4 linked regions of the Saccharomyces cerevisiae S288C genome follow. The gene in region 1 interacts genetically with each later gene. Each region holds a gene or a part of one and is shown on either strand. Other genes may lie near its edges. The genes, in order: VBA5, IMH1, YDR042C and PUT3.

Evidence for each region.
Region 2: mutations in VBA5 (region 1) and IMH1 together harm fitness more than expected from each alone (negative genetic interaction), as found in Saccharomyces cerevisiae (one large-scale study listed by BioGRID).
Region 3: mutations in VBA5 (region 1) and YDR042C together harm fitness more than expected from each alone (negative genetic interaction), as found in Saccharomyces cerevisiae (one large-scale study listed by BioGRID).
Region 4: mutations in VBA5 (region 1) and PUT3 together harm fitness more than expected from each alone (negative genetic interaction), as found in Saccharomyces cerevisiae (one large-scale study listed by BioGRID).

The regions. Positions count from the first base shown.
Region 1 is NC_001143.9:656,738-664,712, forward strand, and holds VBA5 (basic amino acid transporter), read right to left. Parts: upstream 3,728-7,975; coding exon 1,979-3,727; downstream 1-1,978. Other genes in the region: YKR104W (uncharacterized protein), read left to right, coding at 99-1,019; GEX2 (glutathione exchanger), read left to right, coding at 4,705-6,552. UniProt on the Saccharomyces cerevisiae protein: Transporter required for vacuolar uptake of basic amino acids.
Region 2 is NC_001144.5:746,898-755,978, forward strand, and holds IMH1 (Imh1p), read right to left. Parts: upstream 4,873-9,081; coding exon 2,137-4,872; downstream 1-2,136. Other genes in the region: DPA10 (Dpa10p), read right to left, coding at 1-214; chitin deacetylase CDA2, read left to right, coding at 1,040-1,978; Ras family guanine nucleotide exchange factor CDC25, read right to left, coding at 5,327-9,081. UniProt on the Saccharomyces cerevisiae protein: Involved in vesicular transport between an endosomal compartment and the Golgi apparatus.
Region 3 is NC_001136.10:540,101-546,888, forward strand, and holds YDR042C (uncharacterized protein), read right to left. Parts: upstream 1,104-6,788; coding exon 501-1,103; downstream 1-500. Other genes in the region: mitochondrial 37S ribosomal protein uS10m RSM10, read left to right, coding at 1-314; transcriptional regulator NRG1, read right to left, coding at 2,574-3,269; HEM13 (coproporphyrinogen oxidase), read left to right, coding at 6,542-6,788.
Region 4 is NC_001143.9:404,916-413,955, forward strand, and holds PUT3 (Put3p), read left to right. Parts: upstream 1-3,628; coding exon 3,629-6,568; downstream 6,569-9,040. Other genes in the region: WD-repeat containing protein SWD2, read left to right, coding at 1-176; ATP-dependent 5'-3' DNA helicase HCS1, read right to left, coding at 275-2,326; ATP7 (F1F0 ATP synthase subunit d), read right to left, coding at 2,550-3,074; URB1 (Urb1p), read right to left, coding at 6,704-9,040.

The sequences.
Region 1 (7,975 bases):
TGGATGCGGGGCTAGCGGGGATACTGTTATCGAATGCCTTTTCCTTTACTGAAACTGCTCAATGGATCATAAAAGTATTTTCAAGCGTTGAACTTTTGATGAGTTCAGTAGAGAGAATAAAAGAATATACAGATATACCTTCCGAATCAAACGGCTACATATCACCTCCAGCTAATTGGCCTCAAACAGGAGATGTTGAACTAAAAAACTTATCATTGCGCTATTCTCCTCATTCCTCTAAGGCACTAGATAATGTATCATTCAAGGTAAAAGCAGGAACAAAAGTTGGTATTGTTGGTAGAACAGGGGCTGGGAAATCTTCTATTATAGCGGCTATTTACCGGCTTTCAGACTGGGAAAACGGTACGATTACTATTGATAACAAAGACATAAAACATATCCCTTTAGAGCGTTTAAGAAATTCTATAAGCTGCATCCCACAGGATCCTACTTTATTTGATGGAACTGTTCGATCTAATTTAGATCCTTTCGATCGGTATTCTGATGTACAAATTTATGGCGTACTATCCAAAGTGGGATTAATTGAAGAATGCGATGAATTGTGCTTGATTTTTGAGCAAGAGCAGCCTAATTTTTCTAGTCATAAACTAAGAAATAGATTCATTGATTTGAATACTGTTGTGAAATCAGGTGGTTCAAACTTATCTCAAGGGCAAAGACAACTTTTGTGCTTGGCACGATCCATGCTTGGTGCACGTAATATAATGCTAATTGACGAAGCAACCGCCTCAATAGATTATATTTCTGATGCTAAAATTCAGAAAACTATAAGAGAAACAATGAAAAATACAACAATTTTGACTATTGCTCATCGATTAAGGTCAGTAATAGATTATGACAAAATTCTGGTGATGGAAATGGGCAGAGTCAAGGAGTATGATCATCCATACACTCTAATATCTGATCGAAATACCATTTTTTACCGCCTCTGTAGGCAGAGTGGCGAGTTCGAAAACCTTTTCGAGTTGGCTAAAGTCTCATTCGATAATAAAAGATAAGACAACTAGAATTTCCTATTTTTATTCATTCCAGTTCTAGCTACGAAGTATACGATCTGCTTACGTCATATATTTGTGTGTAATTAGAAGGCATTCAGGAAGTCGCTTTTAACTTTTCAGGGCTATATGTCCTAATCCACTACTTTTTTTGAGAACTTTAAGAAATAACTCCTTTGAACCTGTCTGTGCCAAACAAAATTTTGCTGGTACATTTTATGGTATATAAACAAGCTACGTTATTATTACTTTTTTTTGATAGTTTTACTTATACTAGAAAATAATATTATATCATCACAAAAGAAACTCTCTCGTTAAGAATCCCGAATATTCAGCAGGAGCAAAAAAAAAATACCATAATTTAAATGCTTATTCAGTACTTAGCTGCTGATTTTATCGCAAGTATACTATTGGAGAGTACCGTGGTTCATATCGTGCTATTTTTATCTATATTTAAATTTATAGAAGTTTATCGTAGTATACTATGTAATTCTCTGCCGTATTGGCGGCAAAGACAAAAGCACTGACAGTAAACAGTTTTTCTGATGAGAATTTATGTCGAGGAACAAACGAAAATTTTGCTGGCCAAATTTGCTTACGCCTTTAATGTGATTGCGGTTGAGGTCTGTTATTACGCAGCTGCTATCATGTGTCTATTTGAGATTCTCTTTACAGGTTATCGCTGCATTTTTGTCAAGAAAAGAAAAGAAGACAACCTTTTTCTTGCACTGCGATGAGTATATTCAGGCTCGCGAATTTTCCAGATTTCTTACTAAAGACACATCTTTGAACGCACCAGCATGAATTTTATGAACTACTGATCCATATATTAATAGGTTTTAAGTACATATAGAATACTTAAGAAATTACATTCCATTGCGATACACCTATTTGATTCTGATTGTGTTGAAGTCTGTATAAAAGGCGAAAAAAAATAAAATGAAAATAAGAAAATAACTGCGCTACTTGTCTTCTAAATTATCTTCTGGTGTATCGTCCTTTTTTGGTATGATTAATTTCTTATTGGATGAAAAACTACAAAACAAAAATCCTAAGGCATAAAACCCTAGATCCATCCAAAATACGTTCTTAATGGAGTCGCTTAAAATGTTTCCAATAGTCGAATGAGAACCGTCGTAGTTTTGAAGACGATACAAAATCATGTCATCAACCGTTTTTCCTTCGTAAGGCTCTAGATGAGCTCGTGATACTTTATTGTGAAAGGAGGCGGAAAAAACAGTGGTTGAAAGCACACCACCAAGAGTTGTACCTAATGACTTCATGAATGTATTGAAAGCTGTTACTTCAATAAAGTCCATAGCAGCTTCTGGACGATCTTTGGTAATTTGAAGCTGTGCACTCATGAGCGATGCTTGTAGAGCAAATCCAAGGGAAAACCCCGGTAATAGCAAAACACCAATTTGAGTTGACTTCGTGGACGTATTTGTCATAAGTGTCATAAGCCCTGCTCCAATTACCCCAAGAACGCCTCCAAATATTAAGAGTGGTTTAACTAAACCGAGCTTTTTGGTAATCACACCACTTGCAATGGCCGCAATAACGTTGGTAATAACGATTGGTATCAAGTGAAGACCGGCTTTCCATGCACTCGACGCAAATATAAGTTGGAAAAACTGGACAGAGTATATCATTTGCCCATTGTAACCGGTACATAATAGAAATGTTACCATGTTTACTATTATTATGGCTGGTTTTGCTACCAATCTTCTTAGAAGGAGAGGCCTGTAGGATATATTATCAGGTTCCGGGTTGAATTTATCGAATAGGAAGAAATCGTACACCAATGAAAAAATAAAAAGTAAGACACCCAAAACCAAATATGTGATGACTTGGCCAGAGTTCCAACTATATTTATTACCACCAAAGGTTAGCCCCAGTAGGAAAAGGACCAGCCCTGCAGAGCAGAGGGCAAAACCAAAGAAGTCAAACTTGAAGATTATGCCATTCATAAGTCTTTTAAAATTAACTTGGTGTCTGAACTTACTAAAAGTAAAGCTCGAGATTGTTCCTATAGCATCTTTAATTTGTTGAAGTATACCCTTATTCTCGGCCTTATAGGTGAGTAAAAACATAATAATGGCAAGACCACCGATAGGAAGATTGATATAGAAGCACCACCTCCAGGTAACATGGGTTGTAAAGGCACCTCCGATTATAGGACCAACGATAGCAGCTACAGCAAATGCACAACTTAGGATGGAAATCACCAATGGACGTGACCTTTCACCAACCATCGTACAACCAATAACAAAGCAAAGCGTTTGGAGTCCGCTTCCCCCAACACCAGCAACAACTCTACCGAAAATGAGCATATTCATTGAAGAGGCAAGGGCAGCAATTAGGGATCCGGCTTCAAAAATAAGTATTGCTAAAATGAGACTATGCTGGAAACCTATGATAGATGCGAATCTTCCCCAAATGAGACTCAGAATAGCATTTGGTAAACTGTAGCCTGTAACGAGCCAACCTGTTTTGGAGTAGTTTCCGAACTGTTCTGCGACCACGTCAATAATAGTTCCCACTATCAAAATATCCAGTGCAGTTATGAATAGTACAAGAGTTAACGAAGCCAGGCAGAGGTACAAGGAAAGTCCCATTGGAGAATCATTGCTACCTCTAGCATTCAATGAAGCGTCTGAACCACATGCTCCTTCTATCTCCTGCTGCGAAGAGTACTTAGTTTCCTCCATATTTTTGAATTTCTATCGATTAAGCTCTATACCAGGTATGATCTGGTCTGATCAGTTCTAGGTATGAGTATAACTAGAATACATCTATATATATGTATATATATATTTAAACCAAAAAAAAAAAAAATTCGCTTCTCATAAAGGTGTGATGACACTATTATCTTTTGCATATTTTGTCGACTCGTATCATGTACGCGCTGCATATGAGGTGCGGCGCTATCTGTTAAATATGTACTAATTTGCACCTGCTGCAAAGGAAATGTGGCACTACTTTTACTCGCATGTTAACTTTCACCTACTATATATAGAAAAAAGGGTGTTGCTTTCAATCGCCGACTAATTTGCTCAAATACTCTTTACACAAAGGAAATTGTGTATCAGTAACCCTTACGGTTTGTTTATGAAGGAACTTTGCTCGTCCTACACCACCGGATCTAGGTACTCAATTTTTTGATGATTTTGCACTTGTGCTCATATCCTGTCGACAGGCACCGCATTTTTTTCCTTGTTTCAACAGACATAAACACAAGCTTCACTCATTAGTTTGAAAAGAGATAGTTTCGACGGTACAGTATTCTTGTCGTACAAAAGTCTTCGGTATAACTGGTTCGTTGTGGATTTTCGGAAAGTAAGTTGATTGTACGACGACAGGTCAAAGTTAAAGTTAAAGTCACCAGGTGTATAGACACCACATTGAAGGGGCGTCACAGCAATTTTTTTTATTTTTTTTTGATACTCAATAATTACGAGCATATAATTTTAGTACTTCCAAAAAAAAGTTAAAAAAAAAATAGTGACAAAATGTGTCAGTAAAATATATATGAGAACATGGAATGTATTAAAGTAATTCCATTTCTAGCAGATGTAGCGACCGTAGAATCTTAAATACTATTTACATAAATAAGAAAAGTAAAATAGTTTTATGGACTGGAACGAGAAAAAAAAAAAAAAGAATAATCAAGTAAATAAATTATCGGATGAGTTCTAGTGTTGTTGGTGCCTCAAGTAATAAAAAAAGTGGAATTAGGCAGTCCTGTGAGATTATTGAGCGAGAACGTCACTCAAACGATGACACGTACTCTATGACATCGACCTTTTTTAAGCTCAAAGAAAACGAAATTATGTCTGCACAGTTTGATTCCTTGAAATATAAAATTCTACTGATAAGTACCGCGTTTGTATGTGGGTTTGGAATTAGTTTAGACTACACACTTAGATCGACCTATACGGGCTATGCAACGAACTCATATTCAGAACACTCCTTACTTTCAACTGTCCAAGTTATCAATGCTGTTGTGAGTGTCGGATCCCAAGTTGTCTACTCTAGACTCTCTGACCACTTCGGAAGACTAAGGCTTTTTTTAGTTGCAACTATTTTTTATATAATGGGAACCATCATTCAATCACAGGCGACCCGTCTCACCATGTATGCAGCAGGATCGGTTTTCTATAACTGTGGATACGTCGGAACAAATCTGCTCCTGACATTAATACTCTCAGATTTCTCCTCCTTGAAATGGAGAATGTTTTACCAGTACGCCTCATATTGGCCATATATCATAATACCATGGATTTCAGGCAATATTATCACAGCAGCAAATCCTCAGAAAAACTGGTCCTGGAATATTGCAATGTGGGCTTTTATTTACCCACTCTCTACCTTGCCAATTATATTTCTTATTCTTTATATGAAGTACAAATCTTCAAAGACTGCTGAGTGGAGATCTCTCAAAGAACAGGCTAGAAAGGAAAGAACGGGCGGATTATTTGAGAATTTGGTGTTTCTATTCTGGAAACTCGATATTGTTGGCATATTATTAATAACTGTGTCGCTAGGGTGTATTCTTGTTCCTTTGACGTTGGCTAATGAGACATCACAAAAGTGGCACAATTCAAAAATAATTGCCACTTTAGTTTCAGGTGGCTGTTTATTTTTCATTTTTTTATATTGGGAGGCCAAATTTGCCAAATCTCCTCTTCTACCGTTCAAATTACTAAGTGATCGTGGAATTTGGGCACCCCTTGGTGTTACTTTTTTCAATTTTTTCACCTTTTTCATTTCGTGCGACTATCTGTATCCTGTTTTGCTGGTATCGATGAAAGAATCGTCCACTTCGGCTGCTCGGATAGTAAACCTTCCTGACTTTGTTGCTGCTACTGCATCTCCATTCTACAGTTTGTTGGTGGCAAAGACAAGGAAACTGAAACTTTCTGTAATCGGAGGTTGTGCTGCATGGATGGTGTGCATGGGCCTTTTTTACAAATACAGAGGAGGATCTGGGTCTCATGAAGGTGTTATCGCTGCATCTGTTATCATGGGTTTGAGCGGTCTCCTATGCAGCAATTCAGTGATCGTCATACTGCAAGCCATGACTACGCATAGTAGGATGGCTGTAATAACCGGCATTCAGTATACCTTTTCAAAGCTAGGCGCTGCTATCGGTGCCTCCGTTTCTGGTGCCATATGGACACAAACCATGCCTAACCAACTCTACAAGAACCTTGGAAACGATACATTGGCAGAAATAGCATATGCATCACCTTATACATTCATTAGTGATTATCCTTGGGGCTCACCGGAAAGAGATGCTGTGGTTGAATCTTACAGATATGTTCAACGAATAATAATGACGGTTGGCTTGGCATGTACGGTACCGTTCTTTACGTTTACAATGTTCATGAGAAACCCGGAACTAATAGACAAGGCGACACACGAAGAATTCACTGAAGATGGTTTGGTTGTCTTGCCAGATGAGGAAAATATTTTCTCTCAAATCAAGGCACTTTTTAGACATAATCGAAGTAACAAGAAATCAGGATGTTGATCCCCAAGCTGGTGAAAAAAGGGCAAAAAAAAAATGAAAGCAAAATCACAAAAAAGGCAAAAACAAGTGATTTCTACATTTTTATTACTTCCGATAAAAATGACATAACAGGATAGGATAAACATGCTCGATAGACCCACATTTGAACTTGCGACGCATATAGCTGTGTCGTACTTTTTATTTTCACAAGCGTCGGTAAAAACTCAGCGTCGGTAAAGACTCAGCGTCAGTAAAAGAGTCAGCGTCATTGATATTAAAAGTGCGGGAGGAGTTACTATCCAATAAATGATGCTGGAAATGCGCTCTGTATGAATGCATTAATTATGTTGTACCGAAAAAGAAAGAAAGAAAGAAAAAAAAGAATATCATGTAACTTCTAGTAAGGGCGTCATGTCATAGCACTTTTCTAAGTGTATGCCATTGTAAATCATTCTAAGCGAAAAAAAGTGATATGTCTCCTGGTATTTTGTATTGTTGTCGTTACAAGTTGATGTGTTCCGTAGTGTGAGTGCAACATGCGATTTTGGTACCGCAAAAAAGGTACAGATCACATGGGCACAGATACAACAATTCTTTATGCCTGTATTGAGATCATAGTTTTCTTGGAGTCGGCAACAGTCTACGGGTGAACCCAATAATCCAGCAGTAAATCTACTAACCGAACATTGTGTCGGAATTTACACATTACTGATATAATTCGTCCCATTAAACTTGCTGCGAGTGATTTCCAAAACAAGTACTACATTGAGCGTGTTCAGCGTGCCCAAAAGAAATGGACTTGAAAATCTTGTTGAATTAACTGTATATCCTTTAAATTAGCTGCCACAATGATAGCTACCTCCGCGATATATTGACGTTACTAACCTTTTGAGATTCTTCACCAATGTTGCAGCGTGATTTAATTTTGATGAAATCATTTTTGTTGAAAGAGTAGGATCCTGTACAGGCTGAAATATACTGTTCTTCAATATATCACTTATTTTAAATGATACAGCCATGTATTTTGGGGATATCAGAGATAATATCATACCCGATTGAGCTGGAACTCCTAGGATTGTTGACAGATGTCGACTATGGCTCCTTACTAACAGAGTATGGTTGTGAAGCTAATACAGATAATGTCTCACTCGTGCAGTCACATCTCCATTGAAAGCTGTGGAGTTTTTCCAGACACCAGTAGCAGCGCCAATGGCAGCACTACAGCGAAAGTTGAACTCATAGCACATCCCTGAATCGTGGACAGTTAATGTATGTTGTTGTGACTCAGACGATAACGATAAGCCTCAAAAAGTTGTGTCCTCTCATCATCCTCGAGCACCAGTATATCATAAGCAAAGAATCTTCGATAATGATTTGGAAAAAAAGCGAAAGCGAAGCCAATGTGTTTTATTACTGCTGCATTACTGAAGAGATATAAGAAGCG
Region 2 (9,081 bases), on another chromosome or scaffold:
AAATAACAATTGGCTTATCATGAACTGTTCTTGGAGATGGAGAATATCCTTTCAGACTCGTAATATTGATGACGGTAGTTATTCTGCGACATTGAGTAGTACTAGCATCCCTTATAACCGGAATAGTTGTTGATGTAGGTGAACTTTTTGGGACATAACACTTGGCAGTTGTTTGCAAATTTTTTGTGATCATTGATATGTTTCTTAGTGACATTTTTGATGCTATTGTTTTTATAGTGTAATTGCTATGAGTTTATTTTGTTGACAAGTATACTTGGCTGTCTTTTTTATATAATAACGAAAATGTGTAGTGGAAAAGCAGGTGTGTTTTGTCTTATATCTTACAAACTATATAGGCTTATATAGTTTTTTTTCAAAGATTCTTATTACTGCACAAAAAAAAATAAGATCCCAAATTGAACATTAACATTAGTCATATTCAGGGATGGCTCATCACGAACAGCAAACTGAATAATTTTCTTGTCTGCGTTCCTTTTTTTGTGCACCAATGGATGTAGTATGCGCACCTGATGCGCATAATAGATTGCAATTACACTGACTACAACTTACGTATATGCGTTTTTATTACTTTTCTATTGCAACGGCCTAAAGGAATTCGATAAAAGAAAGAGTAGGCAAGATAAGCCTGAATTTGGCTTTCGGCTGTTATTTTTACTTCCGCTAAATTTTCTTTGTTCTTCCATTGTTTTTTTGCCTTTGTGTTCTCCATTAATCCATCCAATTTTAATGTCGGATTAATGGAACTTTCTATTAACCCATAAATGCCACATAGTACGGCTGTAGCAGTGAAGGTTACAAAAGGACGGGTAACACATGAGAAACATGCGTCAGGGAACAAACTAGATATTTGATTTTGTGACGCAACGCAAAAATTACTGGCTATTCTTTTGTAGTATTATCAAAATCCATTTAAAATATTCTCTCTCCTTCAGTAATCCTCTATTATTTATCAAAAACCCACAGTGGGTAAACAAACTGCAAAAGAGTTGTTATTATTTCTACGGATCGGCAATTGAAAATGAGAATACAACTAAATACAATTGATTTGCAATGTATTATTGCACTTTCCTGTCTGGGGCAATTTGTTCACGCGGAAGCTAATAGGGAAGATTTAAAGCAGATAGACTTTCAATTTCCTGTATTGGAAAGGGCAGCTACAAAAACGCCTTTTCCGGATTGGCTTAGTGCATTTACCGGGTTAAAAGAATGGCCTGGGTTAGATCCACCTTATATACCTTTAGATTTCATTGATTTCAGTCAAATTCCAGATTATAAGGAATATGATCAAAACCATTGCGACAGTGTTCCAAGGGACTCGTGCTCTTTCGATTGCCATCACTGCACCGAACACGATGATGTGTACACATGTTCCAAACTTTCCCAGACATTTGACGATGGTCCTTCTGCTTCCACTACTAAATTATTGGACCGGTTGAAGCATAATTCCACCTTCTTCAATTTAGGTGTCAATATAGTTCAACATCCAGATATCTATCAAAGAATGCAAAAGGAGGGACACTTAATCGGCTCACATACCTGGTCTCACGTATATTTGCCAAATGTATCGAATGAAAAAATTATAGCTCAAATTGAATGGTCCATCTGGGCGATGAATGCTACTGGCAACCATACCCCCAAATGGTTCAGACCTCCATATGGCGGAATAGATAATAGAGTAAGAGCAATAACAAGGCAATTTGGCTTACAAGCCGTCTTATGGGATCACGATACTTTTGATTGGAGCCTCCTTCTCAATGATTCTGTCATAACTGAACAAGAAATTCTTCAAAATGTAATAAACTGGAACAAGTCAGGAACCGGATTAATATTAGAACACGATTCAACGGAAAAAACTGTCGATCTTGCCATTAAAATAAATAAGTTGATAGGTGATGATCAATCAACAGTTTCTCATTGTGTCGGCGGAATTGATTACATAAAAGAATTCTTGTCCTAATTTTCAGGGAATTGAAGAAAATAAGGAAGAATTAAATTACAATTTAAAAAGAAATTGCTTTAGTATTTTATATATAGACATGCAGCAACTTCTTGATATATTTCAGGAAGAAAAAAACTGTTTCAATATATACGTATCTTCTGCTTTCAGCTACATTTTTACTTCAGAGACATAACCAGTCTTTTTTCATCAGTACTGTCCAGTTGTAACAACATAGAAATTACAGGAAGTAATTGGTTCCGTTGTTCCTTGTGCTCCAAAAATCCCAACAAAACATTTTTTATATATGCAATTTTTTCATTTTTCTCAGAGTCTAACTCCAATGAACTTGATGATCGTATCTTCTCTAATTTAGTTGGATTAGAGTTATTCGCTGGTGAGGAATCAATATTCGCGTTAGCTAGAGTACCGATAGAACCAGACCTACTAACTCTTCCTGACTTGTCACTGTATTGTCTTTCCTTTAAAGCATTCAATTGAGAGGACAATGAACGATAATTTTTTAGTAATCGATCAAATTTCTTGTTAAGTTCGTTATTTAAATTCAGAAGTTTCTCATTGGCAGACTGTAGCTCAAAATTCTTTTCATCAGCCTTAGACAATGAGAGTTTTAAATTAGATGTGATCTGTTCCAACTGATCGGAATCATCTGAAGTGGCTTGAGTCTTCCTTTTGATGTCATTGTTAACATGTTTCAATGCGTCAACCTCTGATTTTAGTCCCTCTTCACGAAGCTTTAAAGCGTGTATTTCCGATTTCAGCTCAGTTACTGTATGCTTCCACTCTTGTAATTCAGTGGCCTTTCTGGATGTTTGTAAGTCTAATTCTGCTTCCAATTTATTCTTTTCATCCGTTAAATAGGCCAATTTATTCTCCAACTCTTTTTGTTTGCTCGAATCATCTGTCTGACTGTCCGAAACTAACCTTCTCAATGTGTTAGCTTCTCTGGTTTTGTCTTGAACAATATTAGCATATTCATTTAGTTCATCTTCTAAAGATAAAATTTTTTTTGTAGATTCCTTCAACTTGACATTTAGTTCCTCACATTGTCTTTTGATAGAATCTATGTGTTCATTCGAATTACTTTTTACATTTTGCAAGGTATTGTATTTTTCTTGCAAAATATTCAATCTTTCCGATAATTTACCATTTTCTTTCAAATACTCCTCGTAGGAATTAGAATTCTTTGCGATATCATTATGCAGTGTCTCATTTTCCTTTTTTAATAAGTCTAATCTGTTAGAAATTTTAGCATGATCTTTTCTCAGCTGTTCTGTGGATTTTTCAGCCACGTCCTTTTGCTCACTAAATTGTTTAACTTGTTCCTCCAAGTAACTCACAGTTTTTTCCTTTTGTTTATAAGAGGTTCTTAAAGAAGTAAGCTCCTTTGTTATGTTTGATTTTTCGTAGGTAAGTTGAGATATCTCCTCATTTAATTTGGCTACCTTGTTCTGCGATGTAGTCTGCTCTTTCTCCTTTTCTGTACATAAATTCTTCAGATGCTCTACTTTCTTGCTCAATAACTCTATCTTACTTCTCAACTCAGTATTTTTAGCTTCGTAGGCCTCGATCATCGTTGCATTTTTATGGCGTAAATCATCGAGCTCCAGCTTAACGGTTTTCACTTCTTCATTTTGTTTACTCGAAGACTCTTTAATCTCATCTTTTGCGTCCACAAGCTCATTGCCTACAGTCCTCAGCATATCTCTCACCTCCTCTAGCTCCGAATTTTTTTCTTTCAATGACTTCTTGGTATCGATCAACTCGGTGTTAAGGGTTTCCAGCTCCTTTGCTGATTTTTCGAGCTGTGAGTTTTCCAATTCTTTAGCATCTTTTAGTTCTGCTTCTATATCTTCATACTTTTGCTTCCAATCTTCACAATCTTTATATTTTTCTTGTAATTCTTGCAAATTTTCTTTAAGCTTATCATATTCTTCAGTATTGATTGAGTTATCGACCGTTTCCTCTTCACTGATATCACCCGTAGTTATGCCTCCCTTATTTTTCTTTCCCTTGTTTCTATTCTTTTTCCTTCTGTTATTGTTTCCTACATTTTGATGAGATATCGCCTTCGGTAACTCCTTCATTTTTTTTTCCAATTCACTCAGCTTGCGCTCTTTCTCTTTTAAAGTAATATTTAGTTCTGCCAACTCTGAGGACTTTTCCTCCATTATAGTACTTTTCGAAGACAAATTTTGCTCCAATTCGGTTATCTTCATTCGACTGTCCTCGAGAGAATGGTTCTTTATAGCCAATTCTTCCTTCAGTTCGGATATAGATACTTCTTCTTTCTGTTTTTTGGCCTCCCTTTCTTCCTTTAGTATATTTTCCAGTGCAACTATTTTTTCTCTCAAACCTGAAACAGTATCATTTTTTTCTTTTTGTACAGTATCCAATTCTATGTTTAAAGCTTCCATTTTTTTTTTTAGATCGTCTATGTCATTTTTATAATTTTGCTCTTTTTTCAAAAATTCCTCTTCTTTATCCTTCAGAGTTTCACTAGAGGCGCTTTCTGGAATTTCCGAGTTCTGCTTAGTTAATCTCTTGATCTCATCATTCAATAGGTTATTTTTGTTGTTTAAATCCTGGAAAAAAGCTGGCAACGTATCCACTGCGTCGTCAATATTAGATATGGGTGTATTTTCCGCTAAAATCTTTTCAACAGCCTCTAACTTCTCTGACTTTAATTTTTCATTTTTGTATGCGGAGAGTAGCAAAGGGTATTTTTGTTCATATTTCTCAAATTTTCTTAATTTAGCTTGTATTTCTTTTGGCAAGCCACTCTTATCATCTTCGATTTGTTGTTCTGACGGGGTAGGGCTCATATCATCGGCTAAGCCCTTCGCTAATTCATCGGTAAGATTCTTACCAATTTGTGACAGCTGTTTGAACATTGAATCAGCAAATGTTTCCCTAAGTTAAAATCACCTCAAATGTAACTCCTGTTGCTTACTATTTGACGTTTCTGCTACATTTGGTTCTCTTATATTGCTGGATCTGAAAATCCGAACTATGAGAATGCGGGTAATAGCTTTTCATAGAATCACTAATTGATATTTTTTCAGGTAATAAGTTTCCTCTAATCGGGCATTTAAAATCTTGGATCGATAACTTAACTGGGTGTAATAAAATATATAAAGATATAAAATAGATATATATATATAAAACGAACTTTATCAAGAAGAACTGCAAATGAAGCGTACTCTCAAATCCTCGAAAACGAAAAACACTCCACCAGTACAGTATTATCACGAAGAATATTAAGTAAAAGCAGCCATCTTAAATAATAGAGTGTAGCAATCAAACATAAAGCTAAGGTTCTTCTTGATTAGCAAATTGTATAAACTTTTATCGAAATAACCTAGAAGGAGGTTTTTTCTTACCTAGCTTCAAAAAATTGCCATTTTTATCATCTGTAAATTCACTTAGGAATTTTGCAGTTTTTGTACCGCTAGCAGAAGAAGCATGCGTACTGCCTTTGGTGTTTCCTGATCTCGGTTCCACTTGCAGTGATAATTGATACTGCTTTTCAATGTGGGGGACATTTTCCAAAGACGCTTCTATAACGGTCTGAATATCATCCAATCGTTTCAGCTTGTAATGGAATCTTTTAAAGCTTATAATTTCCTCCACTATATTTGCGATTTTAGTCCTCTTGCTGAAGTTTATTATGTTGGTTGAATTGTGAAGAAAATCTGGGTTTCCGACAAACGTAAATGTTAAATCAGATAGGTATACACCAAAAAAGGGAACACATGCAACGTCCGTCACGGATCGCAACAGCTCTCTATACTTCACAAAATTTCTCTTGGAATCCATAAGGTTGTTTAGGTTCTTCAGAAGGTCCTTCGACTCAGTGGAAACTAAATCCCATGTCTTTTTCAGTCGGTAGATTGGGGAGGAATACAAAGCGGACACTATGGCAGTCATTGAAGAAAAATTATTCAACTCTTTACAATGCTGGGCAACGGTAACAAAATATTGCGTTAATTTTGAACGTGTCTTGACATCTGCCTGTTTTACAATGGTATGAGAAACAAAATTAGTTAGCGTATTAGCATTAGCTATAAATTTCGTAATGTTCGGAGAACCACCCATATTACAATACTTGGTACCCCATGCCCTATCCAAGCATTCAAACATAGTGATCCTGAGGTATAAGTCATGTTCAAGTACAGTCAATTGTGTGGCATATGTGTATGGGTCAATATCCAAGAGCTTCAATTTCTTCAATCTAAAAAACGCTGAAGAAGCAGAAGATGGTAAAGAAGACGAAGACATGTGTATCGGTGATTTATTGTCACGTTTAGTTGTCTGTACGACTGCCGATACCGAATCTTGTTGCTTAGGATCCACTGGTTCTTTCTCATTCTCATTTATCAGTTTTTCATTTATCTTTTGCAAAAGATCCTCTGCCCCCGGTATTTTCTCCGATACAACCATCTTGGCAAAATTTAGAATCAGTGGTATGCCAGGTTCATAATAATTTCTTGTCCAATACTGCGTCAAAAATGTTCTCATAATGTTGACCACACGGCATTTAATCGGGTTTGACTTTTTTTCTATCCAAATATTGTAATCATCGTAACTCAGCCCTTCAGGAGGATACAAGTTGTACCTGTAAATCAGGGCATAAAAAAACTCTCTTGTGGTTAATATACTTCTGAAAGTTATTAACATTGTAACATTGAAAGCCGCATCAACAAGTTCATGACTGGTTAAATGTTCAATCAGTGCCTCTTTTGTCCCGCCACGAATTTTTCCTCTTGAGTCATAGACAAGACTAGTTTCATAATCTGAAGTTAAAAACCATGGAAGGTTTTTCTCTATGTTCGCAGCTTTGCGTTCAATATAGTCCTCAGATCCTAATTCGTCATCGATGATAGCTTCATCATTTTCTGAATCGTCATCACTATAGTCCTCGGAATAAATATCAAACCATTTTTCTTGCTCACCTTTCAATAGTTCTGCAGTCAAATTATTCTTCATCATTCTTGCTGCGTAGTTCAGCAAATTTTCTCTTTCTTCAATCAATTGATCAACAATAATACACGCAAGATTAGAAATCTCGACATACTTTTCACAAGCATCTTTAAAATCGTCGGAGTTGTTTAAAAATTCAAGGTTATTGAACTCCACATCTTGACTCACCAATACGTGAAATAAGGAGAGTGCCAATTGTTCATTTTTTTTATGGAAGGGGCCCTTGACCAAAGGTGTATTAGAGATATTCTTGAAAGGTTCATGATGTCCGACAGGGAAATTGGACCTCATTGAGGAAAACAAATACGGGTCGTCTAAGGTCGTTTGTTGCGTTGTCATTATTAATCTGATGACGATGTCATGAAAAGCCTGCTTTATATCAAAAAACTCTGTTAGTACTGAGGAGACCGAAGACATGGCGTGAACTAAAAATTCCTCGCTTTCCAAATCCAACAAAATACTGGGTGTCTTAATCAGGTTTTTCAAATTGATGAAAATTGACAGATCTAAATTCTCCAGTATCTCCAATAGTAAAACATTCTGATTTATTTGTTCGTATGTGCTTGAATTTATTTCCAAATTCCTAATTCTGCTTTTGGGTTTACTTATAATTTTTAAGTGTTCACCTGTAGCATTATTTAATTTTTCAAAAATTTGCGAGGATTTCTTCTTCATTGTATTCAAAGTGTCTACAGTTAATGGATATTTTTTCTTCCTTTTTGAAACTCTTGCTCTTGAAAAGGTTCTGTTATGAGAAGGACGGTTGAAAGGTGTAAAAACTGAACCAGACGCGGCACTGCTTGCTTTTAAATCAATTTGGGAATTTGTTTCTGAATTAGCGCTATATCCTGACGCAGAGGCAATAGCATCTGCCATCTTTGGTGGAATCCTTGATATTGAGGAATTTTTGGACGACGAAGCGGTCACTTCATTAGATGTGACAGCTTTGTTCTTTGTCGCATTACCAAATTCATCCGTAATAAAAGTCGAAAATGGATTTGTCCAAGAACCACCGCTAAATGAACCTTTAAAAAATCTTGGGAGCAACTGTGGTAAAGTATTATCATCTGAGAAGACTGAGCTCTGTAACACAAAATAAAGTAACTGAACATGCCTTAAAAATTTCGAGAATTCCACATCAACCATTTCGTAAATCGATTTAGCTGACTTAAAATTTTTGTTGGACGGTGAAAAATCTTCCAAAGTAGAATTTTGTATTGAAGTCCTTGGTGTTACGACAGAATTAACACTATTTCTTGGACCTAAGACTGAGAAATTTTCCATATCGTTCTCATTGACTGTACTGAATGATGATCTCATTGGAGTCAATGTATCCGTTGTACTGGTACTTACATTACGTTTACCGGACAATGGAACTGAAACTAGATCATGTACACTATCTACTTCAATTTTACCATCATCCCCTTCCGTCCTAGAACAATTATTTTCCTGATTATCGTTATCCTTGTCATTCATAGTATCCATTTTTTTTCTGTGAAAAGCTGAATCGAAATATAAATGAGAATTGATACTTATCCTTGACAATGAAGAGATTAGACCTTTGAAAATCTTCTTAATCTCCTTGCTGCAACTTTTGGCTTTAATTTCATGTTGCATTAGCCTGCAGCCTAACTGTGTGAAGACTATTGAATCTGATATCAAATCAAAGTATTTCGTGAAATTGAGACGATTCTCTTTAAGGAACATCTTGTGAGCCGTTTTAGTATAATAAACTGTTAGGTCTTGTAATTCTGTCCACAATTTTATATCTCTTGAATAGTGATAAAAGATGTCACTCTTGGCCAGTATAGAAGAGCGACTTGGGGCAACTACCCTTGATTGAATATTCTGCGTTAAATCTGGAGCAGATAAAGAATTTAATGATGAAGGACCAGCCTCATTGAATTCGTTTTTGTTATTTTCGTTATTATTATCATCATCATTAATACTGTTATTATTTCCATCAGTTTCTTTTGAATCCTGTTTTTCCATTAGAAGGCTTGATCTATTTTGTTCACTTTCCGATTGCTTCGATCTCGTAGAACTGTCCTCAATATTCGCATTTTTCCTCAGATCTCTAGTATATAGGTTAACAAGATGATCATTGGGCGGGAATTTTG
Region 3 (6,788 bases), on another chromosome or scaffold:
AGAATTTTGAAAGACATACACATAAGAGGCTCATTAGGGCCTGGGATACGAACCCCGAAGTGCTACAGATGTTGATAGCTTACATTACGAAGCACTCTATGGCAGGCGTCGGAATGAAATGTAACTTCTTTCAAAGGTCCGAAATATCGCTGGACTTGGGTTCGGACGCCAATGGCCTCGAAAAATCACTAAGCAATATCGATGAATTGTATTCTCTGAGAAACGATGATAAAGCTCAAACTAGTGCTGTCGGACAAAAAGTATTGGAACTATTGGATAGCCCCGATTTTAAAAAACATTTGGAAAAGAAGTAAAAAGATGATGGCAATCCTATAATTACGCTGGTTCTTGGGACCGAAAAGATTTCGTACTTGTAAATAAAATAGGTGAAGAAGAGGGGCAAAAAGTAGTAGATTAAATGGTTATACTGAATTTATAAGTAAGTTTAATTATATTTTTTAACTATATGATGAACAATTTTGTACTAATATTGCGGCCCGTTATGAGTATTGCTCTTGCCATAAAAGTGTGTTCACTGCTTTGTTTCCTGGTACTGCATACCGCTTAATATTGTTATCGCTCAATAAATTTAGTTTCTGGAAGCTTTCCAAGGACTTACCAGGTAGCGGGCCTGAGAATCTATTTTTTAGTCCATCGGCTACAAAAATCGGTAGTATATTTGTTCTTGGTAAGTAAGCTTTGCTAAAGGAAAGTGTCCTTTTTCTGTTTGTATTCTTCTTCGAATTCCACCTGAAATGTTGGACATTCAGGGATGTGTGTAACCGATACTTCTGGTCAGAGAGTTTGTATACAATATACTCCGCTAATCTGAAAATGGTAAAAAATAATATAAAAACATTCTTGGTAGCAGATATGGAATCTGAATTCATATTGAGAAAGTTTCGCTCAGTACTCCAACTACTTTCGAGCAGAGTAGTGGAATCAGATTCCATTATTGAGGCTTTCGTTCCGAATAATTGTATAACTGGGTTATAAAATAGTTGTTGGAAAATAGAAAAAATGAGGACCTTTAGAAACTTTAAACCTTGAAAAGTAGAAAGGGTAGAAATTTTAAGGCTTTGATTATATAATATTTGCTCCATGTTGTGAAAAGAAAAAGATTTTTTCTCTTAGAGACCTAGTCGTTTGTTAGCTGTTGTTGATTCGCTATTTTCAATAGTAAAGTTTCTAATAAAATGACAAACATGAAGAAGATATAAGTGCGTGTTCTTCCAATATATAATATTTGTACTGCAGATACACAGATTCAAATTTTTCCCTGTTATCCGCCTTTCTTCTTGGAAATTGGTAACAGGATTTTGTGTCATTAGCAAAAATAATAGCCATTAGTAAGTACGCTTTGTTATCCCGACGCGAAACAGAAACAGAAATAAAGAAAATGAAAGCTACTCTGATTTACGTTACCGCCATTGAAGATGGAGGATGAAGCACAATAAGAATAAGAAAAAAGAAAATCAGCAAGAATGACGCGAAAATATATTATCAGTGTTAAAAAGCTATTGTCAAAGTTTGTTTCCACCTATAAAGGATTCGGACGAAGAAATTCATGTTGTTGTTGTTATAGGATATCATCATATATATTTTCGATCACTCGCCAAGAGAATGTATAATAAGGAAAAAGATACCACGTTCTTCTGAACATGTTCAATATCCTTTCTCCTACTTTGCTCAGTACTTGAGCCCCATGCGTTTACATGATTTCAAAAGATATGGAGCTGAAGCCTTTTGTCTTGGCCGAGGATATGGCACCTTTTATATGACCGTATGGAAGACGTAGAGTGGATGAAAATTTTGTGAAAAAAAAAAGCTTATAGGAACAAAAACATCCTTACATCTTCGGGTATTTCTTCTAGGGTTGAAGTATAATAATTAACTATACTATTGTTCGGAGACAGTTCTGATGCCTAGTAAAACGCTTGCAGCTCTAAAAAAATTTGTCTTATTTTTTTCTTCTTCAATGAGCTGTTACCATTGCTGTAAGAGATGCTCGAAAGGTAGTACCTTCAGTGAATTATCTGACGTACATCACGTGAACTGTTTTGCGTAGTAAATTGTTCAACGATAATATATCGTTGTTAGTGATCAAAAAGTAACTATGCAAACTGCAAATGTCAAAAAGCCACAGTTTCTAAAAGAAAAGCAATGAATGAAGAAGGTTTGGGGTTGTAAATGTTAATGCAGCGACGTCTGTTTTTTTGTTATGACAGGAAGTCAGGAGGTAGTCACAGTCTCGTATTAAGCAAAAGTGGTCTGTTTAGGTGGCATAATAGCCTTGTTGCAGCACTACTTGCTACCGAGGCGCAGCCTTACAACTAAAATGTCCAGACATGATCTTAAGCGGAAGGGAGGGGTTTTTGCTTCCGTTTTTTTGACATTAAAAGTTTTCTTAATGCCGCGCGTTTGAAAGGAAACTGATCTGAAAGTGATTTATGATGCCAAAAAAAAAAAAAAATCTTTTGAAGTACAATGTATGTATGCATGAGTTTATAAAAAATGATGTAAAGTGCGGAATAGTAGTACTGCTAATGAGAAAAACACGGGTATACCGTCAATTATTGTCCCTTTTTCAAATGTGTTCTATAGTGTTGCAAGCAATTATCATGTCGACTGAATCGCTGCGTGCATCCCTTATACGGACAACAATGATTTTTTTCGCCCGTATGAATTCTATTATGCCTTGCTAAATGACCCGATGTAGTGAATCCTCTTGCGCAAATTTTGCAAATGTATTTGCGCCTTTGTTCAAGGTCTTCCTCATCTGATAACGTATTTCTTGGATCTGTTCTTTGCTTCCGCGTTTTCAGAGAGTATCTACTATTTGCCATCTTATTATATGCATCATTAGAAACTATTCCGTTCTCAGGCTGTTGTATTATTGATGAATTACAAGTTAGTTGTGATAGCGAGCTTTTTTCGGATGAATCTGAATTATATTGTACCGATGAATTGTCAAAAGAGACGCTTCTTGTTTGTAAATTAGGCGTTATTAAGTATTTTGGCTCCCACTTTTCAGAGCCATTTTCTGATTTGGTTTGGTATCGGAAATCAAAAGCAGTCTTATTTAATTTGTGTTTTAGTTCATTCTCTACCACATGAGAATTAGTTAGAACTGGTAGTAGCGTCTGATATTTTCTTTCCGGGCTTATTTCAACGTTTTCTTCATCTTGCATTCCATCAAATGCGGAGATTCCCGGCAGTGCGGGCATAGTAGAAACATTGAGGTTACTATAGTTATATGGGTAAAACATTGCCTGAAAGTTTGCGAAGGGTAGTAATATGCTGGTCGAGAGGAACAATCCAAGAAAGGTGAATGGTAGAAAAAGGCGCCGTAATGGTAGGAATTACAGTACAATAATACTTTGCAGAATCGTATACGATATGATTTTTACTTTCAAAAGCTGCAGAATTCCCTTATAGCATCAAAAAACTGTAAACGAGGTGGAGTAATATAATTTCTTTTAGTTAAGAGATGGGAACCAAATTTTTTTTAATTTGGGTTTGGAAAGTTCTCTTCCTTATATATGAATAACGGAAAAGGAGCCTGCAGCCAGACTGTAGAAAGATGACACTGCCAAGAGAATAATTAAAAGAAAAAACACCCCAAACACCCTGACCGGCGGCGAAGCCCCTCTGCGCGCTCAACGCGTTTCGTTTCACGCTTAAGGGTCCTCAAGAGGCCATAGTCTTTTACCGATAAGAAAAATCTAGACCCAATGAATTTTTCCCTTCTTTTCCGGTGCGGCCTTTTCACTGCTAAACAGTAAAAAGCATTTCTTGGCTTTCCCTGAGGGTGTTGACCGCAACCAAGCCAATACTTCATTTTGCTTTTTCCTCTTTTAGAAAACAGAGTTTTCCCTGTCTCAAACGTTTCAAAGACAAATATGCGGAAAATCAACTTATAAGTAGAAAAATACTAGCGATTTTTCTAGTTAGAATATTTAGGGGAACTATGCGAAGACAAACGGTGAAGTCAAAAGAAACACACTGCCTCGATTAGAAAGGCTTATCTGCCACAGTTTAATTTTTTTTTAATTTTATTTCTTTTTTTTTTATTTAACTAGAATCTGGCTAAAAATAAGCAACGGTCCGTGTAGATTACTGTTTCGAACGAGGAACAACTGAAGGAAAAGTTTTTTATTTTCCGCGAAGTTCGTATATTTTAGTTTTCTTTTACTCCAAGGGTTCGTGACGTCGAATTCCTATCAGCTTTTTTTTGCGCTTGGCGTTCTAGGTCCCTGTGCCCGTCTGAAACTATTCGTACATAGCATTACTAGAGTACATAATATCGTCTACCATACATACGACGGGTAGCCAGATTTTGTGCCGGATTGTCGGGGAAAAGACGGCAAATGAGCTCATACGTAATGGTGCGATTTTGATTCTTAGCTTTCTATTTCTGGAGAAAAGTACTCCAAGGTGGGGAAGGGGGGAGGCTGGGACTAGTTGTTATATGATGTAGCCTAAATGTAACGAGGCGTGGCTCTTTCATCTTATCTCAATGAATAAGTGTAAATTGCCTCGCCTGGTTTAATCTTTTCTCCACATGCAGTAATAGGTATAAAAGGAGTTGAAATTAAAAATAATAATAAATAATGATATAAAAATTATAAGTTTCTCCTTTCGGAACTAAAAAATAATATTAATAATAATATATAAATATTATATCTTTTTTATAATATAACATAGATACGAGTTTTTATGTTCCTTTGGCAATAGCTTTTCGTGACTTGTTTTAAATACAAGGCATATAGGCGCAGCTTCACCAAGATATTCTGGCTTAAACCAGCACTATGTATATTTTGGTGTTTGATACCGATATCGGCAGCTCGAAGCGTTTTTATGAACTGTAAAAATATGTCCTACATAGTTGTTTGGTAATTTTTTGGTTTTTTAAGATTGTTTTATGAATAGGTGTTTTACCAGAAGGCTATCGCCAGGTAACTCTTTTAACTAAATCGAAAAGATTTATTTGACGTGTCATATTGTAAAAACTAAATGGAAGACAGAAACTAACTTTGTCGACACCTATTTTAAACAAGTATCAAACGCGGGCTATAATTTTTATGAGAGCAATCAATGCAATGGAGTCTATTTCCGGTTAAATGGCACGATTGTGCGTAAAAACACGAGAAAGTGGAAGCATCTTTTTCTTAATGACGGATAATTACCCGAAACAGTGCAACTGCAAGTGCATACTCTTGAAGGACTTACATATTGAGAGGGAACACATTACTACCTTTCAAGAACACTCGCATTTACGGCGTACATATGGTTCCGCGGTAGACCCTAGGTTGAATTGAAAACCATGTTTTGAAGGAAAGCAAAGGCAGAATGAGAACATGGAGATGTAAATATTTTCCCAGTTAGGCATGACCCAAAATCGCAATCCAGATGCAATTTATTATGACACGTAGACCTTTCCGTATCTAACGTAATAAACGATATCTATTTTCGAGGCGCTCGACATCTCGTATCTGGGACAGAAAGTGAGGTAGATTATTCAAGAATACCTATTAAGAAAGGTAGAAGGTATTGCACCGATTCCTAGTATCAATTCTTTTCAAAACCACTTATTTTGCAAAACATGCGTCTAACCTGCCATTTCAGCAACGTAAATAATAATTACTTCCATATATATTCTTCTCCCCCAGTAGCAATTTTGACATGACAAATTTCAGCGATAGTTGCTTCGGCATTCGAAAATCGTAGAAGTATGTCTTAATGTAGAAGGTTGAGAACAACCGGATCTTGCGGTCATTTTTCTTTTCGAGGAAAGTGCAAGTCTGCCACTTTCCAGAAGGCATAGCCTTGCCCTTTTGTTGATATTTCTCCCCACCGTAATTGTTGCATTCGCGATCTTTTCAACAATACATTTTATCATCAAGCCCGCAAATCCTCTGGAGTTTGTCCTCTCGTTCACTGTTGGGAAAAACAATACGCCTAATTCGTGATTAAGATTCTTCAAACCATTTCCTGCGGAGTTTTTACTGTGTGTTGAACGGTTCACAGCGTAAAAAAAAGTTACTATAGGCACGGTATTTTAATTTCAATTGTTTAGAAAGTGCCTTCACACCATTAGCCCCTGGGATTACCGTCATAGGCACTTTCTGCTGAGCTCCTGCGAGATTTCTGCGCTGAAAGAGTAAAAGAAATCTTTCACAGCGGCTCCGCGGGCCCTTCTACTTTTAAACGAGTCGCAGGAACAGAAGCCAAATTTCAAAGAACGCTACGCTTTCGCCTTTTCTGGTTCTCCCACCAATAACGCTCCAGCTTGAACAAAGCATAAGACTGCAACCAAAGCGCTGACGGACGATCCGAAGATAAAGCTTGCTTTGCCCATTGTTCTCGTTTCGAAAGGCTATATAAGGACACGGATTTTCCTTTTTTTTTCCACCTATTGTCTTTCTTTGTTAAGCTTTTATTCTCCGGGTTTTCTTTTTTTGAGCATATCAAAAGCTTTCTTTTCGCAAATCAAACATAGCAAACCGAACTCTTCGAACACAATTAAATACACATAAAGATGCCTGCCCCTCAAGATCCAAGGAATCTTCCAATTAGACAACAAATGGAAGCTCTTATCCGTCGCAAACAAGCTGAAATCACGCAAGGTTTGGAATCCATCGATACTGTTAAGTTCCACGCTGATACTTGGACCCGTGGTAACGATGGTGGTGGTGGTACCTCTATGGTTATCCAAGACGGTACAACTTTCGAAAAAGGTGGTGTTAATGTCTCCGTTGTTTATGGTCAATTGAGCCCAGCGGCCG
Region 4 (9,040 bases), 250 kb from region 1:
GTAGGATTGCCATTTGGAATCATTCTGATTCAATAAGTAACAAAGTATTAAGGCCGCAAGGGTTCATTCCCTGTGTTTCTCATGAGACCTGCCCCAGGTCAATTGCATTCAACCCTAAATATTCGATGTTTGTTACCGCAGACGAAACAGTAGATTTTTACGTGTACGATGAATGACTGCTGCTACTGCATTGATATACTAGAGGATATAATATATAACGAACATTTTTTACCTACTGTATAACGACGTATACTCTATACATCTTGTGTATTCTTTACAAATAATCGTCAATGTTGGGGTACCTTACGTCAGCGTTCTCTTCACACCATTCTGACCAACTTTTTAGGTACTTGTTACCGCACCTTTGCAGAACTTCTATATTGCCAACAACAACTAGTTGCCTTCTGGGTCTTGTCATGGCGACGTTCAGTCTTCGTTCTTCCTTAAGGAAACCAACTTCAAATTTTTCATTGCTACGAACTAAACTCAATATGATAACATCTTTTTCACGGCCCTGGAACCCATCTACAGTTGATATTTCAATATCAGTTAATTTTAATTCATCATGGATCAATTTTTTCAGATGAGAAACTTGTGCATTGTATGGAGAAATAACACCTATAGAGTTCTCCGGGACGTTGAATGACCTTAAATTCTCAATGTGTTCTTTTACAATGGCAATTTCGCCCTCATTATACTTAGATCCAAGGATAGTAGCTTCATCTGCAGTCTCTTGAAATTCATCACCTTGCGTATCATACCAAATTAAAGGAATTTTTGTATCGTCATCATCCTCAGATGGCGTAGCATCGACGGTCGGTAGGTCTATCAAAAGTCTGTTCGCGACCGTTGCATCGGCCAATAGTTTCCCATTATACATTGAGTGCGATGGAAATTCCATAATTTTTTGATTCATCCTGTATTGAACGTTAAGAAATTTTACCATATCCCTTTTCGGGAATATTTTGATTATTCTGTCAAATAGTGTGGTTTCCAAATTGTGAATGACATTTTTGTCGTCTTCTGTTTTGATTGTGGGTGGCAATTGTTTATTGTCACCAGCAAGGACTAGTTTGTGGAACTGATTTTGATGTGCAATTAGTGGGATCCAGCATTGTGGTTCCATGGCCTGTGAGACTTCATCGATGATCAAGGTATCGAAAAGCTGGAAATTTGGATCATCTCTATAAAGGGAGCATAGTTCTCTCGATGATGAACCGTGTAAAGTGGTGACGACTATTCTCGATTGTATTATTAAGTCCTTAATGGTTTTGAACTCTCTTTTCTTTAAATCTTTGCGCAGCAGTTTAATTTCGTTCCAGTTTTCTTTACGTTGCTTATAGTTTTTTAGTTTTTTATTCTCCTGAATTAATTTGTCAATCTCCTGGGAAATGTCCTTCACAATAGTATTCTTTTTACTAAGTATATCAAGAGAGTGTCTTTTATTAGAGTCTAATAGCCTAGCAGGATGACCGATTCTTAATAATAAATTATTCGGCACAAGAGGCGTTAGCCTCTCCAGAATCGTATCCACAGAAATATTGGAAGGCCCACAAATTAAGATTCTCTCCTCAGGATTTTTAATTAGCAATTGCTGGATCAATTCAATTAATGTGAATGTTTTACCCGTACCAGGAGGACCATGTATAATGGTCAAGTCATTGTTAATGGCAAAATTAATGGCAGTTTTCTGGGAGTCATTCAGATTCGGGTTTAAAAAAGATTTAATGTTTTGAAAGCTGTTTGTATTGGGGATGAAGGGGCGTTCGTTTACCAAGTATTGTATAATTTTGTCTTGTATGGGTGAACTAATTTCAGACAGTTTTCTCATTGTGGATTCCATTCTATTATACGTGACGACATTGGTAGTCTTTAAAATGTAAAGTTTGCTATAAGAATAAAATGTGGTAGCAATAACATCTTGAGATTCTTCTAGAGCTATGGTGATTTGAGTATCACTCATTTTGTAGACAACGCCTGAGCATTCCGCTTGCTCGCCATTGGAGTCTTCAGACACCTTTTTGACTTTGGGCTTAGTCTTGGTATTTACTTTGGTTTTTGCAGGGCGTACCAAAACAATATCACCAACCTTAATATCACCCCTTTGAATTTTGTCGTTAACCGCCAAGTTAGGTCCCAGTTCCATATATAATTTGCCAATGAGACCGGATCTTATGTTTTCTAGATGTATGTTGTTTATTGCCAAGCCATTTTGCACCAATTGTTGGATAGATAGCGTTGTTAATAGCCTAGAAGTTGTTTGAATGTCTTGTTCACGTTCATGCTTGATGCTTGATAAAAACTTAGAAGCCAATTCTTTGTTCATTTCCCTCTACTCTTTTTTCTATATTTCTCAAGAGACAACTTTACATCAGCCTTCATATTTTTGAAATATATGTAACGTACAAGATTTTCTTAGCGTAAGGATATGCAGGCGCACATTTGTGTATATATGACAGTAAGAATGTTTAATTATAATATTTGCCAGTTATATAAACCTGTGAAAAAAATAATAGAATATGGTGCGTAATATATAGAGGTAAAGGGTACTACATCACATTCAAATTGCCGAATCTGTCCTTGTAACCAGGTACGTCCCATTTACCCTTCTTGACCATCTCTTCTACCTTAGCATCAATTTCAGGTTTGATCTTTGTCAGGTCGTCAACAGTTAATTCATCGAAAGGTCTTGCAGATTGAATATTATCTAAGGTGCTTTGCAAATCCTTTAACTCCTTGGAAACTAAGGATTCTGTCTCCTTGGCGTTGGTCATTGCGTGCTTTTCAAAAGACTCAATCACTTGTAATTGTTTGGAGGCATCGATTTTGACCGGCTTATATTGCTTAACGTATGATTCTATCTTGTCAATGACTGAAGTGTTTTTCAACACAGATCTATAATGACTGAAATCTACTTCGGTGGGTTGACTTTGCAGCTCTAGTAATTGTCTACGTGCCTCATCGTTTCTCTTTTTAAAACTCGATAATTGAGTGGCAGTCGACCCTGTTATACGTAGAGAAGAGATGACTTTTGCCCAGTCAAGTTTGTTAGCAGCGGATTTGGCCAAAGACATAGTCGAACAAAAATATAATTAGGTGATTCTGCAATTAAGTGCACGAAAAATTTCTTTTAAATCCTAAGATTGTTCTTTTGCGTTACGTGTCAATATGAATATATAAACTTATATAGAAAAGTATTGTACTAGTAGAAATATGTTTTACACCTACGCTAAGCAGCAAGTGGTAATTGGTGTATCTTTTACTTTTTTGGGGGCATCAAGACAAATATCCAATCAAATCGAAGAGAAAATAATTCTTGTAACCCGCTCATTAGTCACGTGGTCATCACGTGAGCATAATATATCACGTGATATACACCCATACCTCGTTTATGGGATTGAGTCATCGGATATGTCATTATAAACGATATTTCTCCGCGGCAATGAGGTGGCGAATATTGGAGTAAAAATGAAAACATCCACCAGGTGCTTGATGATATACTTGACTTCGGCGGCAATTTAAAGCTTTCTAAGCAGCAATTAGTAAGTAACCATTACAATAACGATAAATACGACACTGGTCCAACTAACTCATTGATAGGATAATTGCAGTGATCTTAACGAGTTTAATGGTGACCGACCAAGGCAGTAGGCATTCGATACAATCTAAGCAACCAGCCTACGTTAATAAACAACCGCAAAAAAGGCAGCAGAGATCTTCTGTCGCATGCCTTTCTTGTAGGAAACGTCATATAAAATGTCCTGGTGGTAACCCTTGCCAAAAATGTGTTACGAGCAATGCCATATGTGAGTACTTGGAGCCGTCAAAAAAAATTGTTGTGTCGACAAAGTATCTGCAACAACTGCAAAAAGACTTGAATGATAAAACTGAAGAGAATAACCGCCTGAAAGCTTTGCTCTTGGAGAGACCAGTGAGTGTACGTGGTAAGGATAACAGCGATGATGACGAGAGGCATATAAACAATGCACCCTCAAGTGACACATTGGAAGTATCCAGCGCTCCGGCGGCTCCTATATTTGACCTCATGTCCAATAGTAACACTGCGTCCGATAACGATAACGACGATGACAACAGCAACAGAATCACAAATAATAGGAGCTATGATCATAGTTTGGAAAAATACTACAAAAAGGCCATCAGCATCTTTAAACAACCAGCTAATGCTAATGGCGAAAATGGCAACGGTGCCAATGGTCATGAGGATGATGATGAAGATGATGAAGAAATATCAACAAATTTTGCTCAAAGAAGTGGTAGGCTCATAGAATCTCACAATGGATTCCATTATTTTGTTGGATCTTCTTCAATGACATTATTTGGGTTAGAAATTCAATCTTTGGTTACAAAGTATATTTCGGTCAAGAATTTTCGACCTTTGCCAATAAACACCAAAAACAAGATTTTAAATTCAAACCTGAACCCGGCTATAAGTTCTTTTATCAATTCAAACAACTATCTTTTCTCGTCCTATAATTTTTTGAACCCTATATCGACTATTGTCAACTTAAACTCAATCAACGATAATTTATCTCCATTGATGTTTAAGATAATTTTGAAAAGCGATACGGATGGTAGTAGTGGCCAGGAAGAGGTAATACAGTTTCAGTTGCCTTCGTATAATTACACAAAACTATTAATTGACTGCTTTATAAATTATAACGATGGTTGTTTTTACTTTTTCAACGAAGGCCTGGTTAAATGTGGCATTAACAAATTGTACTTGGAAAATAAATGGCTATACTATGATAATACCAAAAAAGCTTTGGACAATGAGAATGATCCAATTTTACAAGCTGTTTGGTTTTGCAAAATTTTGTTAATTTTAGCAGTAGGTGAAATGTATCTGGGTTCCATCAATAATGAAATGTTGAAGAATTATTCTAATCAGCCAAAATTGCCCGGTTCAAAATTTTTTCAAATGGGTTCTAAAATTTTTAATTGTTTGTTCTCAAGTGAAAGATTAGAAAATGTGACTAAGAAAGGCGGTATTGAAGTCCTGTTGTTATACGCGTTCTTCTTACAGGTGGCTGATTACACTTTAGCCTCTTATTTTTACTTCGGTCAAGCCCTAAGGACGTGCTTAATTCTAGGCTTACATGTTGATTCTCAAAGCGACACTCTATCCAGGTATGAAATCGAGCATCATAGGAGACTTTGGTGGACAGTTTACATGTTTGAACGAATGCTTAGCTCAAAAGCTGGGTTACCATTAAGTTTCACTGATTATACAATCTCTACAGCACTGCCAGCGGATATTGATGATGAAACTATCGAAGAGAAAAATAGTCACTATGTTTTCAGAAAGGCAGAATTGATTTCTAACTGCGTTACTATTGTGAAAATCAATGCACAAATTTTGAGCAAATTATATCAAAGGCAACCTGAGACAAACATCATAATTACTTTGAAAGTTGTCATCAAGCAGTTGTTGGAATGGAGGAACAATTTGTCCGATTCCTTACAGGTGGATTTTACGCAAAAGGATGAAGATTTCAAAATATCGAGATTGTCAACCAATATGTTTACGGAATATTTTCAAGGAATAAACTTGGCCGTGAGACCTTTATTATTTCATTTTGCATCCATTCAATTGAAAAGGTTCAAAACGAGCAATACTTTCGTCAACTTACAAAACTATTCTGCCACAATATCTTCCTTATTAACATGTTCTTTGCATGCTTCTGTGAATACTATTAGGTCTCTGTGGAGTTTATTACAGAATAGTATGCTTGCTATGTTTAGTTATATGGACAGAGAGTATCTTTTTACTTCTTCTTGTACTTTATTACTATTCAACACTGCTTTTGGTATTCATGAACAAACACTATATCATTTGGATCATTCTCTGGAAATTTTCACACAAATGAGAAACTTAGGCAACATTCCAGCAGGCTTAAGAAGAGCACAATTATTAACATTAATGGCAAATTTGGATTTCCACGGCATAATGAATGACTTGATTACTAAATATAACGATATTTTGAAATTTGATTCTATGAATTGTGAAAACGATAACATAGTAGAAGATAGCAATGAACCCAAAAGAGAAACCGAAAAGTGTAAACCTCACAAAGATGGCGATCGCATTGACCCTTCAATTATAGACTGTGATAAATCAAACACCAATACAAATATGATCAAGAACGAATCTATATCGAACATTGTTAGCATACTTCCGGAAGGCGCGAAACCAACGCTGACTGATTATAGTAATGGTAATAATGATGTTAATGATATTAACGTCAATAACTCGGAACCTTCTACTTTTTTTGATATCATAACTGCGAGCTTGGAAAATTCATACCAAACCACGCTAACTGAAAAGGGCTCTCAGGTGATGGAAAAAAACATGGATCAGTTGGATTCCGTTCATAATCTAAATGATGACGATTTACAACAATTGTTGGAGGATTTAGGCAATATTGATCATTCCGATGAAAAACTTTGGAAGGAAATCACTGATCAAGCAATGTGGCTGGGAAATACTATGGATCCAACTGCAGCTGCTGGTAGTGAAATTGACTTTACTGATTATTTAGGACCATAACACCATTACAAAGACAAAGAAGAAAATACTGATTTCTTTGTTTTCTTATGCATATATTATACATTTCGCACATTATATAGAAAAGTGGACATTTAATTCTTCAAATCTTATTTAAAATATCTATCACAAGACAGCTCATTTACGTAGCCTCTTGACAACATTGTCGCTATCACCTTCTGTCCATAATATTAGCCTTTTTTGTGATTTGACAAGCTCGTTGTAGCCTAATAGTAGTTTTTCAATTCCGTTTTGTTCTTGGGCTAACCTCAAAGTAGTATTTAATGTACCTCTGTTTTCGTTCCGTAAAGTACCAATGTTGTTCAGTATATCGTCCTGTGGTAGTCTAGATTTGATGTTATTGTTCAAAACCTCGAAAAACGACACAATACCGTTTCTGCTAATTAAATTCAAACCACCATCATCTGCTACCCTTTGGACTTTGTAAAAAATAAAATAGATTAGTTCGCGTAATCTTTCTTTCAAGTATGGCATATTGATCAAGTTTAACAACCATTCAAATACACCTTTCTTCTCTAACATCTTGTAATCTTCATCCGTTTTAATTCCCTTACAAATGGTTGTTAAAACCCAACTCAATTCTCCATAGTATATTTCCATATCAATTTCTTTCTTATTGTCATCTTGTTGTCTCTTATTGTAGGACATCATCACATCAGATACCATAGGGATGTCCCAACTACGTATGGTAGAATTTGATAATACCCAGCGGTATGCCTTCTCATGTAAGGGCGCAGTTGGACTTCCCAATAGATCAACAATTCTAGAGATAGAAAACCAAATTAACGGATTGATAGGATCTTGATTTTGTTGTCTCTGGTATAAAATCCTTTTAATCAACACTTGGTAAATGCTATTATATTTGATTAAATCGCTATCAGATTCTTTTCTTTCATTATCCTTGCTAGTTATTTGCTTTTCAAGATTCATCTGGGCAGTTTTCTTCTCCAAAGAAGAAGCTAAATTTGATAAATGTTCGTAACTTATATTGGCAACGGTATGACAATCGCTTAATGAGCAAATAATAAACTGAAATATTTTGCAATCAAGGAAATTTTCAAATTCATATCTGTATGTTACATTGCCCTCGTCATCTTTGACCATTTTTACCAGCTCTTTGTTATGGATTATTAATAGCAGTAAAAATAATGGATCGTACATATCAACACCAGATCGTTCGGTATCATCGTAGTACTTTTTGACTAGGTCACACCTTGTAGTAGCATCATAATTGTTTGTATTAGAATCGGTATATAATTCAGGGACTTGAGGCCTTTCCAATACGTATCTGTCAATGGACTTTTTGATCATGTTTTTTTGTAGTGTTAGTATCAACCCCTCCCTTTCTTTGGTAATCAGCCTCGTGTCTCCAATGGCTTCCAAGATTTCTTCCTCTTCGTCTTTGATAAATTCCCAAGAAAAAATCATGTTTGTCCATGAAGTAGCGGTGTGAGATTCGATAGTTTCTAGAATTTTCAGTATCAACTTGTCGTTACTGGAAATAGTACCGGAGTAAAAAGTCAATAATTTCTCTTGAACTATTGGCGTCGAATTTACGACCGGGTCGATGCTGAATAAAGAGAATAATATCATTGTGCTTAAGAACTTTCGATACGATGAATCTTCATCATTGTCTTTAATCATTATTGATGAGTAACTGTCATTGCTTAATAAAAGTTGAACCATTCTTTGCGATTGAATTGACTTTTTGCTCACACAAAAAATTAATACAATAACGTATTCAAGAACCTTAATTTGTTTGATCCACTCACTGCCTAGAATAGCCTCTAATTGAGAATTAATGATTTTGACATTCAACTTATTTGGTACCTCTTCAAGTTTTAAGAGCTCAGCCATCGCTCTTAGTAACTCAAAAAAAGAATTGGAGATAACTTTTCTTTCTGAAAGGTACTTTGTAAGGTAAAGAAGAGTTTTATGTAACCATGTTTCTACCCCTGGATAAGTAAAATTATTGTGTGCAGCTATGTATCTTACTGTAGCAGCATGATATTTATGGTCGCTCTGTGATAAAACACATTTCAAAATTTCATTTCGTTTCGTTTCGTCATAGAAATCAATATAAGTGGTAATCATATTTAATATTTCGTCAAAAATCTCACTTTTCGAGGTAGTGTAAGTACTTTTCGCAATTTCATTACCATACTTGGAAATGGTTTCATGCGCAAATGCGCTAAAATCTTTATCCTGCATGTGCTTGAACAAAGCAGCCGTTGTTACAATACTTAGTAAAGGTGAATCCTTGATCCTCCAGATACTTGGTATGAAAGATGGGAAAGAAAAATGTTCCCATCTGTAAAAAGCTTTCAGTACTAGATAATTCAAATCACTAGACACAAAACTATTTATCAGAGAAGTAGTTTCTGAAAGGGATAGCTTACCCATAGGATCAGATGAAGCATCAACACAAACTTTGTTTTCTTCAAAAAATTTAGC